Linked DNA regions of Caenorhabditis elegans. The protein of the gene in region 3 purifies or fractionates together with the protein of the main gene of each other region. This does not show direct contact. Each region holds a gene or a part of one and is shown on either strand. Other genes may lie near its edges.

The links.
Region 1: the proteins of pbs-7 (region 3) and rpn-5 fractionate together in Caenorhabditis elegans (co-fractionation; one large-scale study listed by BioGRID). This does not show direct contact.
Region 2: the proteins of pbs-7 (region 3) and pbs-1 fractionate together in Caenorhabditis elegans (co-fractionation; one large-scale study listed by BioGRID). This does not show direct contact.
Region 4: the proteins of pbs-7 (region 3) and acdh-9 fractionate together in Caenorhabditis elegans (co-fractionation; one large-scale study listed by BioGRID). This does not show direct contact.

Annotation. Positions count from the first base shown.
Region 1 is NC_003280.10:4,694,796-4,700,247, forward strand, and holds rpn-5 (PCI domain-containing protein), read right to left. Parts: upstream 3,500-5,452; 5' UTR 3,498-3,499; coding exon 3,408-3,497; intron 3,351-3,407; coding exon 3,165-3,350; intron 3,114-3,164; coding exon 2,406-3,113; intron 2,359-2,405; coding exon 2,182-2,358; intron 2,115-2,181; coding exon 1,803-2,114; 3' UTR 1,626-1,802; downstream 1-1,625. Other genes in the region: F10G7.5 (MFS domain-containing protein), read left to right, coding at 1-220, 273-462, 672-779, 826-942, 1,277-1,486; scc-1 (Sister chromatid cohesion protein 1), read left to right, coding at 3,926-4,177, 4,224-4,373, 4,422-5,452.
Region 2 is NC_003282.8:1,707,560-1,711,694, reverse strand, and holds pbs-1 (Proteasome subunit beta), read left to right. Parts: upstream 1-1,949; 5' UTR 1,950-1,952; coding exon 1,953-2,030; intron 2,031-2,075; coding exon 2,076-2,275; intron 2,276-2,340; coding exon 2,341-2,791; 3' UTR 2,792-2,892; downstream 2,893-4,135. Other genes in the region: rpi-2 (Protein XRP2), read right to left, coding at 1-106, 295-416; K08D12.3 (CCHC-type domain-containing protein), read right to left, coding at 774-1,129, 1,329-1,428; pugs-4 (C6 domain-containing protein), read right to left, coding at 3,161-3,280, 4,076-4,135.
Region 3 is NC_003279.8:8,694,386-8,698,930, forward strand, and holds pbs-7 (Proteasome subunit beta), read right to left. Parts: upstream 1,917-4,545; 5' UTR 1,908-1,916; coding exon 1,876-1,907; intron 1,830-1,875; coding exon 1,724-1,829; intron 1,673-1,723; coding exon 1,494-1,672; intron 1,449-1,493; coding exon 1,337-1,448; intron 1,260-1,336; coding exon 978-1,259; 3' UTR 820-977; downstream 1-819. Other genes in the region: K07A12.5 (Pre-mRNA-splicing factor SYF2), read right to left, coding at 1-89, 136-273, 389-500, 553-694, 738-759; F39H11.1 (Craniofacial development protein 1), read left to right, coding at 2,222-2,320, 2,369-2,601, 2,649-2,693, 2,769-2,931, 2,981-3,115; tlf-1 (TATA box-binding protein-like 1), read right to left, coding at 3,931-3,987, 4,064-4,130, 4,183-4,499.
Region 4 is NC_003280.10:845,812-851,139, reverse strand, and holds acdh-9 (Isobutyryl-CoA dehydrogenase, mitochondrial), read left to right. Parts: upstream 1-2,536; 5' UTR 2,537-2,539; coding exon 2,540-2,606; intron 2,607-2,656; coding exon 2,657-2,757; intron 2,758-2,808; coding exon 2,809-2,981; intron 2,982-3,025; coding exon 3,026-3,241; intron 3,242-3,288; coding exon 3,289-3,451; intron 3,452-3,559; coding exon 3,560-3,792; intron 3,793-3,847; coding exon 3,848-3,950; intron 3,951-3,995; coding exon 3,996-4,169; 3' UTR 4,170-4,276; downstream 4,277-5,328. Other genes in the region: F28A10.5 (Methyltransferase FkbM domain-containing protein), read left to right, coding at 486-582, 631-1,013, 1,061-1,462; F28A10.13 (60S ribosomal protein L35), read right to left, coding at 1,930-2,031, 2,123-2,206.

The DNA.
Region 1 (5,452 bases), on a different chromosome or scaffold from region 3:
ATTATCGTGTCAACGATCAAGGATTCTTCACTCAAGAGGATCTTTTGGAACGGGTTCCCTACGTTTTCATCGTGATGTCCATCTTTTTTACGGTTTTTCAATCGATTGGGCTCATTTTTATCGGGCAACCGGAAGGCGATATTCACGTTGAAACGGAGAATTTGATTGGGACGAACAGTGAAATTCGCGTGGAACAGGCGAGGGTTTGGCCGCAGTTACGGTAAGTCCTGCCGCGAGGCATTATACAGACAAATAACGGGTTTTTTTTTCAGAACCACAACTTTCCTAGTACTATTCCTGTCGTTGACATGCAATGCCGTTTGGGTCCAACTCACAAGTGGTCTCTACAAAGCTTATGGGCAACAATTTATCGATTCTGACTTCTTTTTGAGCTTGATCGGATCGATATCCTCGATTTTCAACGCTGGGAGCAGAGTTTTTTGGGGTGCAATTGCGGATACGGTTATTTTATTATGGAGTCGCAGAAAAATTCGCGCTACGCCCCCAAGGGTCGGGTCTCGTTGGGTATTGGCGACAAAACAGTTAAACTCTAAAGAAATACCGAAAACATGTTTTTTAAAAATTCTTACCGCTAATACCTAACGAGACCCAACGTTTGAAGGCGGAGCGGTCTTGATTTTCCAATAATTAATTTCAAATCAAATTTTCAGACATCCTATCAATTTTCCATGTCGATTGTGTGCAGCCTGGGAGCAGTTTTGGCATTTTCGATGCCACTGGTGAAAATGGTATCCAATGATGTTCTGTTTTTGGCCACCGTTCGTTTTTTTCTTTTTTTTTCTCATTGAAATTACAGTTTTTCAGGTTTGTCTGATGTTTTCCTGCATCGGAGGCACATTTTCAATCTTTCCTTACATCACGCACAAGTGTTTTAGTAAGGCGAATTTCAGTGTTATGTATGGATTTTTGCAGTGTGCAGTGGTAAGTGGAACTTATTACCGGGATGCGAAATTTTCCGGTTTTTGTGAAAAAGCACCCGGTCTTGACACGACAAAATTTTGTTAAATGCAAAGGGATGTGCGCCTTTAAAGAGTACTGTACTTTCAAACTTGCGTCGATGCGGAATTTTTATAAATGAAATAAAACATTTTAAACACATACATTTAAAAAAATGTGAGAAAAACGATGAAAATGTCGCAGTAGCGAAAGTTTGAAACTACAGTACACTTTAAAGGCGCTTACCTATTTGTTTTTAACACAAATTTCTCGTTTCGAGACCGGGTACCGTATTCGCGAATACATGAATACATTTCAGAGTGTCGCCGGACTAATCGCTGGACTCATTTCAACACATGCTCTTTCTGAAATCGGATTTGAATATCTTTTCATTGTTTGTGGATGCTTCATGTTGACCTCACTTTTCCTCACTTTTATCGTCCACAAAACCGATTTAGCTCAGTTGTTGGTTTCTGCTGAACGAGAACATTTGGAAGAGGATGAGAATGGATATCAAGTTTATCAGTAATTGGTGCACTCATGTTATAGCTTCTTATCAATTTCCTAGAAAATCAACTCAAACCTGTGATGATCCATTTGTTTCCCGTTACCTCTATCTTACAACTTGTTCCATAAAATTGTTTCTTCAAAAGCTAGTAATACACATTGAGCACGTATACGTTTACTATCAAACCGAAGAGTGAAAGGATGAAATCGATCGACAGTATTAATAAATTAATGATAAAACCGGAGAAGGTGCACGAAAAAGAAGAAATTGGGGAGGGCGAACATCAATAAGAAAAATACACATGATGGCGGAATTATACACAAAAAAGTGGTTAAATTTATGCCCGTGGGGCCGCGAGATCCAAGTTCTTGTGAACCATTTGCTCTTTCAGAATGAGATGGGAAACTTTGTTCAATGTATCCGTCAGTTTGTGCACGTTGCTCGCCCATACATCCAATTGCTCAACATTTGCCTTTTTCAAACGAAGATTGACAATACGGGAAGGGCGATGAAGTTTTGCTCCGGTGATCTGACCGGTAACAATGAGGTTACACACAAATGATTCCATTTCATCAACTGGGAAGTCGAGGAGCTCAGCGAGACGTTCGAAAGTGATTTGAGTATAGTACTTGGCAATCATACGCATGTTCTGTAAAAATACAAATAAAAATTTATAAATTTTAACAGGTTTTTAACTTATTAAAATTTTAACTTACGTGCTCTCCAACACGAAGGTGCAAATCAGACCACCGCTTCTCTCCTTCAGTTGATTTGTCGAAAATTCCGGTGTCTGGTGAGCTAGTTGTTCCACGTCTTAAAAGCTTCTCGTACTTTGCGACAATGGTTCCTTTGAAAGAAATGAGTTCTTGGTTGATGAAAAGATCCAGAATGATCTGAAAAGAAAACAATAATTAGATTAAATTCAAATCGCACAGCTTACCTTGTAGTCTGGAACGGTTTCCAATTCTCTTTGAATGGCAATTCGGTTGAGGAGATCCCATTGCTCGTTTGTGTGCGGAGCCAAAAGACAGTAGACAATGGCAGAACGAAGATGTGAGGTCGCCTTGGCTGAATCAGCTTTAATCTTTTTCGTCTCATAAATTTCACGATGATGACGGCACACGTCCAGATAGTTTCCATCGTGAAGTCCGATACGGATCATCGAATCGTAGTATTTCAGCTTCAGGTTCTGTACTTCATCTTCGTCTGACTTGTTGAAGAACTTGATATTGATTTTCTTAGAGATAATAGTGGCTCGCACAAAATCATTACGAACGAGAGAATATCTCATTTGCTCGAGAAGGTATTGCACCTTCTCTCGCATTTCCATGGAGCCATATGTTTCCACTTGAAGTTCAAGAAGCATGGTTGCAGCTTCGTCAAGCTTTCCCTCTCTCTCCAACTTCTTCACAACCATCGAGGTGAGGCGAGCACGTTCCACTTCCACATAGATCTTTCCAGCTGTAACAGTGCGAAGAGTTTCAATAAGCTTCATCTTGAGGTCCTCGGTTGGCATTTTGTCAATCATTGCGACAGCATCACGGACCATCTTTGCGATAGCCATTTTGATGAGAAGTCTTTTCTTTGAAAGCGTCATGATTGTTTCCATAAGAAGATCCCATTTCTGCCCTTCGAAACAAAGCTTCGTCTGCAAATATCAGAATTAATATTTTTTTTTTAATTTGAAAAGTATTATCACCATATATTGAACAACGCGTGTATTGCTCTTCATGTCAGCTCCAAGACGAGTGAGCTTTTCGATGTTGTTCAGACTCTCTACAGCAGCAACAGCGTCCTTTTGAGCGATATCTCGGGCTTTCAGAAGTGCTTCGTCGACTTGTTTCGAGTAGTCCTGCTCCATTTTGAACAAACGACCATCTCCACCCTGAAAATCATTTAATGAAATCTACAGATAAATTCTCGAAAACGTTTTAAAACTTACATGAGCGGCCAAATGAGCCAAATTGTCAAGTTCGCTTAGTTCTCCGACATCGACCGGGTCAACCGGGATCGGTTCGCGTCTGTCGGCCATATCTGGAATAACAATAATTAGAATATATAGTTCTGCTTTTTTAATTGAAAAATAACTTCAAAACCTATAAAAATATTACTTTTAAATGCACAAAAATTTTAAAGGTAGAGAGTAGAAAATAATTATTTCTTGAGTGACAATCCGCACAGCTGAAACGAGTGTTACCGTACCTCAAATCGCGGTAAGACCCAGGAGGAGGAAGACAAAAATATTTGAAAACGATTTTTCGAGCGTTTTGTCTTCATCATCAGAAATTTACCGCATTTTCAATGTTTGCCTCATTTTAAAACTATTGCTTCTCTCATTGTGATCATTTGAACATACTTATTCTTCCAGTTTTTGCTCTTTTATCATGTTTTCTCAGGAATTTTCTAATCTATGATCTCTTTGACGTTAACAATCTATTGTTTATCTCATGCTATTTTCAGATGTTCTATGCACAGTTCGTTCTCGCCAAAAAGGGACCGTTGGCAAAAGTGTGGCTGGCAGCTCACTGGGAAAAAAAGCTGACAAAGGCGCAAATCTTCGAAACAGATGTTCCCCAAGCGATCGAGGAAGTCATTCGCCCCAAGGTTAAAATGGCGCTCCGAACAGTTGGACATCTTCTCCTTGGAATCGTGAGAATCTACTCGAAGAAGACACGATATCTTCTGGCTGATACAAATGAAGCGTATCAAAAGGTAATTAAAGATAATTTAGAACGACAAAAACAAAGTAAATTTTCAGATGAAGATTAACTTCCGCAACGGATTCAGTTTTGAAGTCGACATTCCAGAGAATGCAGAAATTGAAGAGGATTTCTCAAACTTCATTGATAAGTACAATATCACAGTGCCCGAGTTCCACGATGCCGACTACAATGAGCAGCTCATTATGGTGCGTTGTATTAAAAGCAATTCACATTCAATTTAATCGCTGTTTCAGGCTAATGTGAGCCGTCGTGAAGACATCACCATGAAAGAAACCGTCAATTTCAATGTCGAGTTCAACATTGACGCAGATTTCGATGGGTTCGGTGACGAAGGAGAATCTTGGCAACTCGATCATCTCTACGGATCGGTGGAACCTTTGTCTTTGCGCCCCACTCCTCAGCCAGAATCGTTGATGGAAGTCGAACGAGATCGTGATGTGGCTGCAAATGGAACGGAAATTTCCCGTATAGATGCGGATAGTGTGATTTTCTCCGAAGGACCAACACGTCCAAATCTTATTTTTGACAATCAGGAAGGCGGAAATTTCATGCCTGAAATGAACCTGAAGGTTGAGAATCAAACACTGGAAAACGATGGTGGTGTTGGGCCTGCTGATATGTTCAGCTCAATGATTCATCCCGTCAGAGAGCATGCTGTCGCAGATGTTCAAAACGACGATGGTATGGACTTTGACTATCAACCGTTCGAGCCTGAAAACGTTGAGCCATCGAGACCACAAAGTCCCGAGTCATTTGCCCTGGAGCCTCTAGATGTGGAGCACATGGAAGGACGGAAAAAACGTCAGAGAAAAGCGAGAAAGCTGATTGTCGATGCTGAAACTATGATTTCAAACGACGCTTTCCGAGAGCAACAAGAAGACTTCTCCGATACGATGCGAGTAGTTGAAATGGCGCCTCCTACCAGAAAGATGTTCAATTTATGCGTCAGCGGAGATCTTCAACACCTCAGCCGTGAACCTGGATGCAAAATGTTCAACAGAGAACTCCTTCAAAGATACAGGAGATGTTTGGTCACCCGAGAGTTCGATCTCAATTACACCATGCAAGAGTTGAGCGATAGTTCGAGTTTCACTCCGTCAATGGAAGCTCAAGCTGAGCCATGGGAGGACTTGAACCTCAATGAGGACATTCAAGAAGATATTCAAGCGCAGGGACCAGCCGTTGATGAATTCTTTAATGATGTGCGCATGGATGATGATGATGACAGACAACCAGCTCAGGAAATGGACTTTGGTGACAACTT
Region 2 (4,135 bases), on a different chromosome or scaffold from region 3:
ATTCTCCATTTGAAGTGGTCCACCATCTTTCGACTCCTTTTTCAGAGTCGTGTTATGGATATTCGCAATTGTAAAGTCTTCGGCATTAACTTTTTCTCGACGATCCCTTAAAAATTAATTTTTCGGGTCCCGCAGCGATGCGCCTTTAATCTTTTTTTGAATTCCAGACCTAAATATCTAAAGAAACGAAACCTAGAAACCTCAGAGAGGCGCTATCAAAATGATTGCAACAGGTCTTGCAGCGAAATCGAATTTTTTTAAAAAATTCACTGCGAGACCACAAATTCCACTTACCACGAATACTTTGGAGGTTCACCTCCCTCTTCCGGTTTCGGCACCGCATCCTCGCTGACCTTGTAGCGATCCTCACGTTTAGACCGGCGCCCAAAAAGCTTTTTCGAAAAACAACAGCTCATTGTTCGAGGCTCCCGCAGAATATGCGAAAGTGAGTGAATGAGCAGCGCGAGTTGCTCGGCGAGAGCGCGCGTTGCTATGGAAACCCATGTGAGAGCATCACGTCGCCTTCACTTCCGATGCGAAAGAGGAGGAGCGCAAGACGACGACTTTAATCAACAATTTATTACCACTTTCGTTCAAGAGGTTCAGAGGTTGGGATGGGGGATAATAGCTGCAACCAGCATTCACATATAATATTTGAGATGCGGGGAAGAGGATTATTGGAAAAAGGAGTGAACGAAAGTTTCAGTTGAATACATTATTTCGAGTTACAGAACAATGAAAAGACAACGAAAATGGGGGGAATGATGATTGATTTAGTTGGTCTGGCTTGGGCAGTCGCGGGAGATGTGTCCGGTCTCCTGGCACTGGTAGCAACGCTTCTCCTCGGCCGAGCCACTCTCGGTGCACTCGCGGGAAATGTGCCCGGAGCGTCCGCAATTGTAGCACTTTTGTCCGCCGAAGCTTCTGCCTTCTCCACCGCGGCCTCCGTAGCCACCGCTTCCTCCCTCAGATCTGGCGGATGGGCAGTCACGAGAGTAGTGTCCACGTCCTCCGCAGTTGTAGCACGATCCACCGCCGCCGCCACCTCCACGTTGTCCTCCTCCGGATCCTCCCTTGGGGCAATCGCGAGAGAAGTGTCCAGTCTCTTGGCAGTTGTAGCAGGTGGATCCTGAAATAACATGAAATTAGTCTCGAGATTTCCGCTGTAAATTTATCATCAAATAACTCCTAATCTCCGCCAGCTTAAACACATTTCTCTTCGCCTCCACTTCTCCAGAACTTCAAAAATTATTGCAATTCGGTAAGAAATCAAGAGATAATGTATTTACCTAAATCAACTCAACACCCCAAATTCAACACCACTCCACCTCCTCCACCTCCTCTACGTCCACCATCGGACTCGCCATTCGGGCAGTTGCGGGAGATATGTCCCGGCTGTTGGCACTTGTAGCAATTTCTGTCCGACATTACTGCAAATAATTGATTTTAGAAAAAAGAAATTATCAGTTGCGAGGAATTACAAAAAAATAAACGGTTGAATGTCACAATTTCAATCAAAAATGGCGAAAATTCAGAGAAACAAAAATCCAAGACAGTGAGGGCGAGAAATCATGGATATTCAGTGACTAACATGACAAAAACTAATAAATACATGGAAAACTAGTTATAAAAACCAGTTTTAACGGGAAAAAAGTCGGCGAAATCAGAAAAAATCAAAGAAAATGTGGCCAGAACGTGTCGATCGTCCCAAAATCGAATGTTGGCCGCGTGCCAGGAAAGTTAGATGTGCAGGCAGTCCGGTGGAGCGCCAATTCAAACGTCATTTTTGCTGCATTGAGATTTGATGACAATGTTTTTTCTGCTCGGGTTTCTCGTTTTTAATGATTTTATTCTGAAAAATAACTACTAAATTTGTTTTTATACATTATTATTGATTTCTTAACGTTAAAATAACTTTTAAAAAATGAATTTAAGTCGATATTTTGCAGATAATGGATACTATGCGAGATGAGAAGCGCAAAGCCATTCCGGCAATCGGGTTCTATCCACAGGAAGAAATCAGCACTGGAGTGAGATTTTTAAATTGAAATTTCCACTAAAAGCTCAATTTTCAGACCACTCTCATCGCTATGGAGTACAACGGTGGAGTTGTCGTCGGAACCGACTCGAGAACCAGCGCCGGCTCGTTCATCACCTCCCGTGCCACCAACAAAATCACCCCGATCACCGATAATATGGTTGTGTGCCGTTCTGGATCTGCAGCGGACACTCAAGCGATCGCCGATATTGCCAAGTACCATATTGATGTTTATACGTAAGGAATTTTCAGTTGTTTTAAAATTAAATAAAATAATTTTTTTAAATAATCACTTTTTTCAGCATGACAGAGAACAAGCCAGTGACAATCTACCGCTCGAGCCAGATTTTCCGCCAATTCCTCTACAACTACCGCGAGCAGCTCTCCGCCTCAGTGCTCGTCGCCGGCTGGGATGAGGAGCTCGGCGGCCAGGTCTACGCAATCCCAATCGGAGGATTCGTGTCCCGCCAGCGATCGACAGCTTCCGGCTCCGGTTCCACATTCGTGCAGGGCTTCCTCGACAGTCAATGGAGACCAAACTTGACGCTCGAGGAGTGCAAGGCGATCGTGAAGCAAGCCGTCGGACTCGCCACCTTCCGTGACGGATCCTCCGGCGGAGTTGTCCGTCTCGCCGTGATCAACAAAGCCGGCTCACAGTTCGAGCTGTTCCGTCCCGACAAACCAGGATTCCCATTCGTGCAGACACCAACTCCACATCTCTCTTTCCCACCGCACATCGAACAAGTCCTCTAAAATCGTTTCGTTTTTCGATCTTCTATTGTATTTTCCCCTGTGCGACTATACTGCTAAGTTATTTGATTTCCCTCAATATTTATGAAAATTCACACTTGTCATCATTTTCGTTTCAATGCTGCTGCTGCTACCGCTGCTATGTCAAAAGTGCAGTAATTGGTTAGCCAAGCTACGCAATTGACCGGTATTCTCCTCCGGGAAACTGGTCACGTGGAACGTCAAGCGATTTATTAGAGTTAATTTAACAGAAAGAGTTCATAAATTGCGAAAATATACACGTGGCAGGTTATGGAAAGACGAAAATATTGCAATGGGCGAGTATCTCTAGGGAGGAGAATATTCAAAAAAAAAATTGGGGGAAATTAGAAATTAAAATCTGCAATCGACGAACTGCAAAATTCTGCCAAGGATCGTCCACGTGTACTGGGAGCCGCCAACGTTTGTGCAAGTGGCGAGCAGAGACGGAGCCGCTGAGATTGAAGCTCTTTGCTGAAAAATTAAGAAAAATAAAAATAATTGTTCCTTGTGGTTTCTTAGTTTTCACAGCTGAAAAGATACGGAAAGTCTGCGGATTTTCAGCGAAAATTGTAATTTTTTCTAAAATTCTAAAAAAATCCCCGAAATTTCGAAAATCAGAGGAAATTTAAGAAAAAAAAAATCGATTTTGGAGCCAAAAATGCGTTACCCGGTCTTGACACGATTATTTTCCGTTAAATACAAACGGGTGTGCGCCTTTAAAGGGTACTGTAGTTTCAAATTTTTGTTTCTGCGCGATTTTCATCGATTTTTCATAGTTTTTCGTACTTTTTACTTTACATTTGTAATTTTTTAAAAATGAAATACTATTTTGAATCGAAAAATAACAAAAAATCGTTGAAAATTCCGCTGCACCAAAAGTATGAATCTACAGTACTCTTTAAAGGCGCACACCTTTTTGCATTTAAGGAACATGTGTCGCGTCGAGACCAAATTACCAAGAAATTCGATTAAAAATCCGATTTTTCGCTGATAATTTGAAAAATTTTCTGGATTTTTTAAAGCAGAAAATTGCATTAAAATTTTTGGTTAAATTTCTCAATCTTTTCTATGAAATAAAAAAAATGCACAAAATTCAAGAACATTAAATTTTTATCTGAATTTCGCAAGTCTTCCCGGAATTTGGGCCTGGAAAAATTATATTTTCAGGACAAAAAAACTAAATAATTCATATTCTTGACCACTATACGAATTATTTTTTGCTCTTTTTGTCTTCCGAAACTCCAATGGCAACGGAACTGGACTCACCTGGTCGTATCCTTCAACTGTGGCCGCTTGGCCGCCCGTCGTACACGTTATCGCCACAGT
Region 3 (4,545 bases):
TTTTTTATGTTGTCCTGTTTATCTTTCCTTTGCTCCAAACTGATTTTCTGTTTCTTACGAAGAGCGTCCAGTTCCTTTTCACGAGCTGCCTAAAGTTCATGGTTAAAGTAAATTTCTCTATAATCTCTATGTTACGTGATCACGAATCGACACAAACTTTTTTTGTGGAGCCAAAGTGGATAAGTAGTATTCTTTCAATCGTCCAAATTCTACATCAACTTTCACTCCTTGACGATTGACAACCGTATTGGCTCGTTGCATCTTTGGATGGCGCTGAATTTCAAGAAATAATGTATTTCTTTTTAACTTTTTAGATGGATAGTAAAAACCGTAATTAAGCACTTCCTTTGCGCGGCGAGATATATATATATATATACTGTATGCTTACCACGTCTGAATTTTTCGATTTCGAAACGTATTGAGACTGCGTATGAAAGATTTCAACTACTTGCTCCTTTCGAAATTCTTCCCAATTTTTCAGTTGTTTCTGAGCATCCTTCCTGGAAACCAAATCAGATAAGTTATTACATATACATCAATTTATTTAATTACTTGTGAGTTTCATACTGATCATCACTCAGTTTATACCGCTGCTGCATCTTCTTTTTGTAGCTCATCTTCTTCGCCTGTTTCTTTTCATAATCAGATTTCTGTTTATCAGGCGATGGTGATAAACTGAGCTTTTGGAGTTTACCTGAAAGCGCTCGATTTTACTTTAAACCAAAAACTCATCATACTTTTTAAACCAGAGAAATTCATGCTCGCTATTTTTGACTCGAGCACTTGTGAAATGATGCGTGTGAATACTTAGACGTGAATAGAAGGATTAAATGGAAGTTTATTTATCGACTTCACGCGAAAATAAATAAAATTTACACCGAAAACGTGGGTTGGAGAGAGTAAAATGTTTTGAAAAGAAGGATACAAATAAGTTAAACATGGAGATACTGAAACGCATCCTGCACACCGGGGAAAACTTATTCATATTGACAGTTAGTCTCGGCAATCGACCAGTCACCAATAATCTTCTCTTCTTTACCCAAAACGACACCTTCTGTCGCATCAACACGTCCGATTTCGAACTCATTGTCAGCGACGCAGTCGTGGTAGAGAGTAAGTTCAAGCGATTTGCGAAGCACGGCTTCTGCCTCTTCACGGGAGAGGTCTTCTCCCTTCTTTCTCCACTCATCTTCAACAGCTTGGTTGAGGAGGAACGCTCCAAGTCCAGTTGCAATGTGCTTCACTTGATATGCGCATCCCTGAAATTTAGAATAATTATTATGTGATTATTTAATCATGAGATTCTGATCCGGCAAGTTAACGCTTTCAAGTTTACCTTCTGAGTAATGACACCGATGAAAGGTGTGCTAGTCTCCTTGTTGTTCTTCTCCTCCTCTTCGACTCCGGCGACAACAAGTGTGTTCCACACTGGGTTCATCTTGCAACGTCTGAAATTTTTTACTTAAACTTTCAATTTAATTAGGAAAACAGACTTGGCGTAGAGAAGGCTTGTGAGGTATCCGTGGAGAGCTTTTGGTCCAATATCCTGATCGAAGCGCTTCCAGAGAAGAACCTGACGCTCGATCACATTTTGAAGCCAGTGGAAGTCAGCGTGATCTCCTCCGAAGGCAATGAGAACATTATCATTGACCTTGTATTGACGAGAAACATTCTGGAAACAAATATTATGAAAATCCACTTTCAGCTGAACGGAAATTCAAACCTTGTAACGAGCCATTTTTCCATAGGAAACAACTCGATCAGTAAGGACAACAACCCCAGTTTTATACTGGAGAGCGATAACCGATGTTCCGGTACAAGTAGGATTCCTGAAAAATTGAGTTAATTCAAACGAATATAGGTTTAATGACTTACAGTGTGCGCTGGACTTCGTCGTGAGCATTCATTTTGGTTCTGAAACAATATAAATGAAGTTTTTGAAGGGAGTGCTTTGAAAAAATGAAAGGAAGTGAATTTCGACAATGAAATGCAAAAATGGCGGCTAAGTCATCATAAAGCATGTGCGCTCCGTCGAATTTTACACTGAATACCACGCACAATTGCGTACTTCAATAAGAAAAATTATCTCGCGCTACTTTTTTTGAGATAATATTATAATATAAATTAATTCATATTTTATAAATATATTAATTCATATTTTATTCTTTTGAATTCTCACTGAAATTGTGAAACTATTTAAAATATAAATTGTTTCAGAAAAATGACCTCGGAGCTTAAAAATAACGAAGAAGACTACAACTCATCGTCCGATGAAGATTACGATCCAACAAAGGATACCGATTTTGATCCAAAGGATGAAGTAAGCATTCCTAGATATCGCCCTTTTATTGCTCATTCTCCTCAACAGATCGATGATCAAGAAGAATGCGAAGATGGAATTGACGAAGAAGTTGAACATCTGAAAAATGAAAAACAAAGTGACGACCATACATCAGAAAAGGCAAACAGTACTGAAGGAAGTGTTGATGTGGATGCGATATTTGCAGAATTAACTGGGCTAGCACCGAAACCAGTTGTCAACGATACATCAAGCAAGAATATTCCAAAAACTGAAGAAAGGGTGTATCCAAAATCAGCAGCGTATGTTTGAAACAAGTAGAAATAACTTTTAAAAATGTATTTTACAGATCTGCATCCAACGAGTCTACAAATCAGAAGGTTTATCCGAAAAAGTGAGTTGACATGAGTTTTTATTTGATACAAATTTAAAAACAACTTTTTCTTATTTTTCTAATAATTTTTTTCAGAACGGAAACAGCTGGAACATCGTCTGAAAGTAGCATTGTACCCGGAAAGAAAAGAGTCGGCTTGCTTGATGCTGCAAAATCACTGTCGAAGCGTTCTAAAATTTCTGTTTTGGAGAAATCTGATCGAGATTGGAAAGATTTTACGACGCAAAATAATTTAAAAGTATGTTTCTTTAAGTTTAAGGTTTTTGAATAAATTGTTTGTTTTTCAGGAAGATTTGGAATCTCATAACCGAGGGAAAGGCGGTTATCTGAACAAAATGGACTTCTTAAACCGAGCTGATAATCGCCAGTTTGAAAAAGAACGAGCGTTCCGTGCAACAGCTCGTAAGGACACTGGACAGTAAATAATTCTTTATTTTTTCAATTGAATCTTTTTTGTGATTTTCTGGTTTCTTTGACAATTCGTAACTTTGAAAAATTCATAAACCTTCTGTAAAGATACGGACATTGAAATTTAATCATGAACATATTTAATGGACAAAAACGAGAAAAATGGTAAAGGGAGACAATAACTAAATCTAGAAAAAGGATGAATCATGAAAAGGGAATTGTAGAAAAATCACATTCTAAAATAATTAAAATGAAATACAACAACTTTGGGAAAAGGTAGGTTACAGTTTTATAATACGAACTCGTTTGTTTTTAAGGACTTTTTGTGGAATTTTTGCGAATTGTTTCAGAACAAAAAAAAATCTGCTACTTGTTTTTAAAACTGGGATTCATGAGGAAAAATAGATAATGGAAAATAAGGAAAAATTAAGATTTGCTGGGCTTGAGGGGAACATGATGAAGACATGAAGTAGAGAGCACATAGTGGGATGTGGAGAGAGAAAGAGCTAGAAGGAAGCGAGAATTGTTTTTCTGATCATTGTGTTAATTTTACAAAAAAATGGATAGGAGATTGTGTTGATTCGATGATGACTTATGATGTTGATGATGGTAACGGCAAACAGAGAAAGAAAAGAACAGGAAAAAAGCGGATAAAGCATGAATTTTGAAGCACACAGAACAATTGAAAGAACAAGATATACTGGAAGATAGAAAGCTAAAACTAGAGAAATTATGACGAGATGATGTAGAAAGGTAATCAGATAATGATTGCAAATTGAGATTTTTTAAAAATTACAATGAATGGGTAGGCTGCATCAATTAGGTACAACTATTCTTCTAAATCGAGCTCATCATACAGATCTTCATCTTCATCAGAGAAATAGACCTGAAAGAAAAATGTGTTATTTTAAAATTAAATTTGTATTATTTTCAAACCACCGAAACACTTTTTATTTGCATACCTGGTTATTGATAACTCCAGAATTTCTATAATTGCTGTCATCAAAGCGTTCGCGTTTGATTGGTGGTCTAAAAAATTATTTTATTTTTACATTGAAGCCAGAATTTTACAAATTTTTACCCTCTGTTAACAGGTGCCTTTCGTTTCCTCTTCTTCTGAGCAGCGACATTTCCTTTGGCTCGTTCGAGACATCGGAATTCTAGAACAATTGGATAGATCTTTGAGAGTACTTCGAGAACATCGGCTTCCGATTGAGCTCCAGTGACTGTAATTGAGCCAGTCGTATGAATTCGAAGAGTAGCTTTTGGTGTCACAGATCTCCAAACAAGACCAACGGAAAGTTCAGGCTCATATGTGGATTCTGATGGATATTTTGCTGCGACTTCTTCGATTTTGATTCCGAATGGAAGACGGCACGTGGCCAGAACGTTGTTCACCTAAATTCCACATAAACTTAATAATTAGATAAATATTTTAAAGTTG
Region 4 (5,328 bases), on a different chromosome or scaffold from region 3:
CTGGAAGCGATTGAACTTCGACCAATAACAATATACAACATTTCTTTATTTGTCAAAGTGAAATAGTTTTGAACAAACACTATTCAAAAAAGTAATTTTAAATTGAAATTATATCAAATTCACGATTTGTTCCCAAATATTTTAAACTGAAACTCAATAAGAGAAGATCTCATATTCTCACTGATAATCCGAAACATGACATTTGTTTCAATGCTGTTTTCAACCTCAAGTTGTAAAATTCAAAAACCAAGCTGAAAATATGTTTTAAAAATCTAGAAACTACAATAATTTTTATGTGAATTTTTGGAAAAATCTCAAGCCAGACGGAGCACGCGCCTTGGCGCGTGCGAACGGCTGGTAAGTTATAAAATCACAAACACGTTTCACGTGAAAACACCCAAAAACTGATCCGTTTCTCTGTCAGTCCTTAGTTTACATTCATCGTCATCTCAACGATTCTTGTCACTGTTTAAGATAAGACTGGCATGCTCCGTAAACAAAATTCGAGCTCCTTGAGCATCTTCTTGCTAGTTCTGCTGCTTCTTATTTCAGTGTCTATTTTTATCACGTCCAATCAAATCAGTAAGTTTCAAAAGATCATAGTTATGCTAGTTACACGGGAAAATTCAGATCGTAAATTGGAACAATGCTCTTTGCCGAGCTTCACACGACAAGCTCGAGTGCTTAACCCAGCAGCTCTTTACACTTCCCATTCTGCAAAAGAGGTCCGCAAATCTTCTTTTAAATCTGCGGATCAGGCCCGGAAGCTACTGATTGCTGCAGCAAAGTTAAATGACAACAAGGACTTTTACGCGAAGGTGAAGACGGAAGCTCATTGTGAGAATATGGAAAGAATTGGAGAGTCAGGAGACGGGGGAAAGTATGTTTGCAATCCAAAAATGGTTCGAAATGGGTGCACGTTGATGTCATTGGGACTTAACAATCAAATAGAATACGATGAACACATCCACAAAGCTACAGGGAAGCAATGCATCATACTTGGAGCAGATATTGTGAGTTTAAAACGTTTGAATTTTAAATATTCACTCTGTAAATTAAGGGAGAACAAAACGAAAAGACGAAAGAGTCATACAAGAATATCAATGGCCAATTGTTCGTAGGAAAAATCCCGGACAATCTGCCCATCTCATCGATGCTCGAGAAGTCTGGTAGAAGTGAGATTGAGCTGTTGAAAATGGATATTGAAAATGGAGAGTTCACTGCTTTGGAGCCACTGATCAAGGACTATTTTGTTTGTCAGATCTTCATTGAAATTCATGGAACCCCGTTGAATCACTTTGAACTGCTCCAAACCATGGCAAAATACGGCTTCCGTATCTTCAACGTGGACCCTAACCCATATTGCGAGGCATGCTGTGAGTACAGTCTCATCAACGACTTTTGTATGGCACAGTTTGAAGTTACTCCGTTGGCCAGCATCATTCCACCAGTAACTGTATGAGTTTTTGTTTTGTTTTTATTTTATTTTATTTGTGTTTTAAATAAAGTTTATGTAAATTGAATTCTTGGTTTTATTTCGACACTAAACCAAATCAGTGCTTATTAACGTGTACTCATATTTTTCGGCTTTATCCGTTTCTAGTTGAAATTCTTTTTGACTCAATTTTGCAGCATCTAATTTTCACTGAGTTTCACAGCTTTTATTAATTGATGGAAAATTAGTAGAATTCGTTTTTTCTTAATCAAAAGTCTATATTGAAAAAAAATTATTACAATAATAAATCATTGATTTGACCTTTTTATGCTTTTTTCAAGGCAAAGCTATACCCAAAAAACTCACTAGTTCATCTGAAAATGAAACAATAACCAAACACAGATTGTTCAAGCCAAACATTTTATATTGATTTTACAAAAAAAAACTTTAACATACAAAACTTTTTTTGATTCATATGAAAAAGGTCGGTGAAATCATAGCTGCTGCAGACGCCTTGATGTTTGATGACGCATCACAAATGTTTTAGCATTGACTGCATCCGGAAGAACTAATTGGTGTTTGACTCTGATTGAAGTCTGAAATCTCTTTCATATAGGCTTGAGATTTAATCTAAATAGAACAAATAGAGGTTAAGGGGTCAGATCGGATTTTTATTTGAAAACTTACAAATTTTTTTTTCAATTTTTTCGAAAAGCTAGTGTCTGCAAGAGGTTTGCAGTTTCTATAAAACATCTTTTTCTTGAGGCCCATGATTTGCCAGTTGCTATATTCCTACTTGACTATGCCCTCTTGTTTTGCAGAGTTTTAATTTCAAATTTCAATACGTCAATCTATAAGAAACAAAAGGAGGAAACATCACTGACCACCGTTCTCTTTCCTTCTATTCGTCAGTTGTCTCGATGCGATCAAACTATCACTTTCCCCCTCTGCGTCTCTTTCATATTTTGCCTGCAACTCTCACTGCGTCTCTATCTCTCCCTCTCTTGCCTGCCAAACGGACAAAAAGTCCACTTTAGTTTTCTTCTACCACGTGCTCTCGGTTTTCGTGATTTTCGTTTGATTTTTTTTTCAAATTTTCAGCAGATGTTGCTACGAAATGTGCTCTCCAAAGGTCTTCGGCTCAGAAATTCCAGCAGTTACTGCTTGAGGCGTAGGTTTTATATTTTACAAGTTCAATTTTTTAAGAAAATATACTTTCAGCGGGTGTTGGACTCGAACGCGACGTCGAAGATGTTTTGGAAGCCGCCCATCAATTTGCCAAGAAAGAAATGTACCCAAAAATGGCAGATTGGGATAAGCAGGTAAGATTTTCCCAAAAACATTCTTTTAAAAAATGATTTGAAATTTTTCAGGGAGAGCTCCCGATGGACGTGCTCCGGAAAGCTGGAGAAATGGGATTCGGAGCCATTTATTGCAGTGGCGACCATGGAGGATCCGGGCTCTCTAGACTTCATGCTTCAGTAATTTTTGAGCAGCTTTCAATGGGATGCGTGTCGACGGCAGCTTATATTTCAATTCATAATATGTAAGTTAGCTTTAAAAAAAACTAGTGAACTATATATCTTATAGGTGCGCCTGGATGCTGGATACCTACGGCCCGGAGAAGCTTAAAGAGGACTTGCTCCCAGACATGGCTGTTTTCAAAAAGCTCGGATCCTACTGTCTCACAGAGCCAGACGCGGGCTCCGACGCCGCAAGCATCAGAACCACGGCTACCAAAAAAGGAGATTATTATGTTGTCAACGGATCGAAAGCTTTTATCAGTGGAGCAGGAACTTCAAATAAGTAGGTCTTTCTTGAGATATTCTGTTTAAATATTGTAAAAAATTTAGCTACTTCGTTATGATGCGGCAGGATGGTGCAGCTCCGGGAGCCAAGGGAATTTTCTGTCTTATGATTGAGGATGGAACTGAGGGATTCAGTTACGGGAAGAAGGAGGATAAGCTTGGGTGGAACTCACAACCAACAAGGATTTTGACTTTTGAGGATTGCAAGGTGAGCGTTTTAGAAGTTTTAATTTTAAGAAGTATTAATTGACTGTTTTCCGATAAAAGAAACGATTGCCCTGAGCATTTGTATAAATTTCCATTTTCCATTTTCCAGGTACCAATCACTAATCAAATTGGAAAAGACGGGTTCGGCTTCAACATCGCAATGGCTGGGCTCAACGGAGGACGCATTAACATTGCGAGTTGCTCACTAGGAGCTGCTCAAAGGAGCATGGACTTAGCTATTGAACATTTGAAATATAGAAAACAATTTGGTAAGAGCTTGGCAGACTTCCAGTATAACCAGTTCAAGCTTGCGGAGCTCGCCACAAAATTGTATACTAGCAGGTGAGATTTTCTTGTCAACTAGAAACTTTTATAAAAAATTTGAACTTATTTTCAGACTAATCGTTAGAAACGCCGCGGAGCAACTAGACAATGATGATCCGGAGAAGGTGGCTCTTTGTGCAATGGCGAAGCTTCACGCCACTGATAATTGTTTCGATGTGAGTAATTTTTCAGCCGACATTTGACAAAGTTTCTTGTTCCAGGTCGTCAACGGAGCTCTGCAGATGTTCGGTGGCTACGGATTCCTGAAAGATTATCCGGTTCAACAGTACCTCCGCGACATCCGAGTTCACCAAATCCTTGAAGGAACCAATGAAATGATGAGATTGTTGATTAGCAGGGACCTGCTCACTAAGGATGTATTCTGGAGCTCCTGAGCCATATTTGTCTCCAAGGAATTTTAGAAATGGGTATTTCCAATTGCTCATGGCATTTTGCTATTTATTACAAACTTTTATTGAATATAAATGTTTTAGATTTTCCTTTTTTCTGCACAAAAACGAAATTAAAGACTAAAAATTAATGCTCTTTTATTTGTAAGCATATTCTATCACAATTTTCTTTTCACTGTGTGGATAGGAGCTTCACGTCCCTAGAACATCACAACCAAGCATCGTTCCTGATCCCGGTAATGAGTAGGCTCATATATTTTGGCCCAGTTGGCAAAGCAGGACCGATAAATTTTGGTGGATTCTCAGCAACTCCATGAAGCCATTCAAAGACTTGAACACGAGCACATGGATCATTTTCATTCATTGGTTGGTCGTAGATATTCACTCAAGAGTTGATCCAAACTGCCCGAAAAGTTTGGGGTGCTCAACTTCAATTGTTTCAAAGCCGATCCTGTCAACTGTCGGCAACAATTTTACCAAACTACGTTTTTACCTAATTCTAATAATTGGGTTCAAATGATTTATTGTTTCAAAAAATAAATTTATAGTTCTAAGACATTTTGAGTTCCGAATCTTTTGTCAAACTTTCAGTTTCATAATCTAGCTCTAAACCTTCCAGATCGCCGTCTTCTCCAGCAGCAGCTCTTGCACAGCAGCAAATTCCGGTACAAACGCAGGAAACAATGGATCCAACAATTCCACAGAAAAACAGAAAAACTAGAATGCAAATGACGGCAATTGCAACTTCAACCGTCATGTACCACTCGCAGTAGTTGGTCTGCTCACAGCATTCTTTCCAGAGAGCGTTGGTACTTTTGCAGGCGTCATCAAGACAGTAGTCGCTGCTAGCGGTGTCCGAAATAGAGATTCATTAGAAAAAAGCTCGTGAGAGGTCGGACGCTGCAGGGAAGCGATTTAGCAGAGCAGCCCTGGGACTCGGCTGCTAGATTTATTATCTTCAGAAATGGGTTTAAAATGTCGGCTGCTACTTTTTTGTTGTCACAAAAGCGCCTAGTGTCGGTACATCTTCAAAACTTACATGATCGACATTTCTCGGCAAGATCTGAATTATCAAACAGCGACATGATGCAAGTTCTCAAAAACCGATAGATACAACTGGTAATGATCGAACATATGCAGTTGT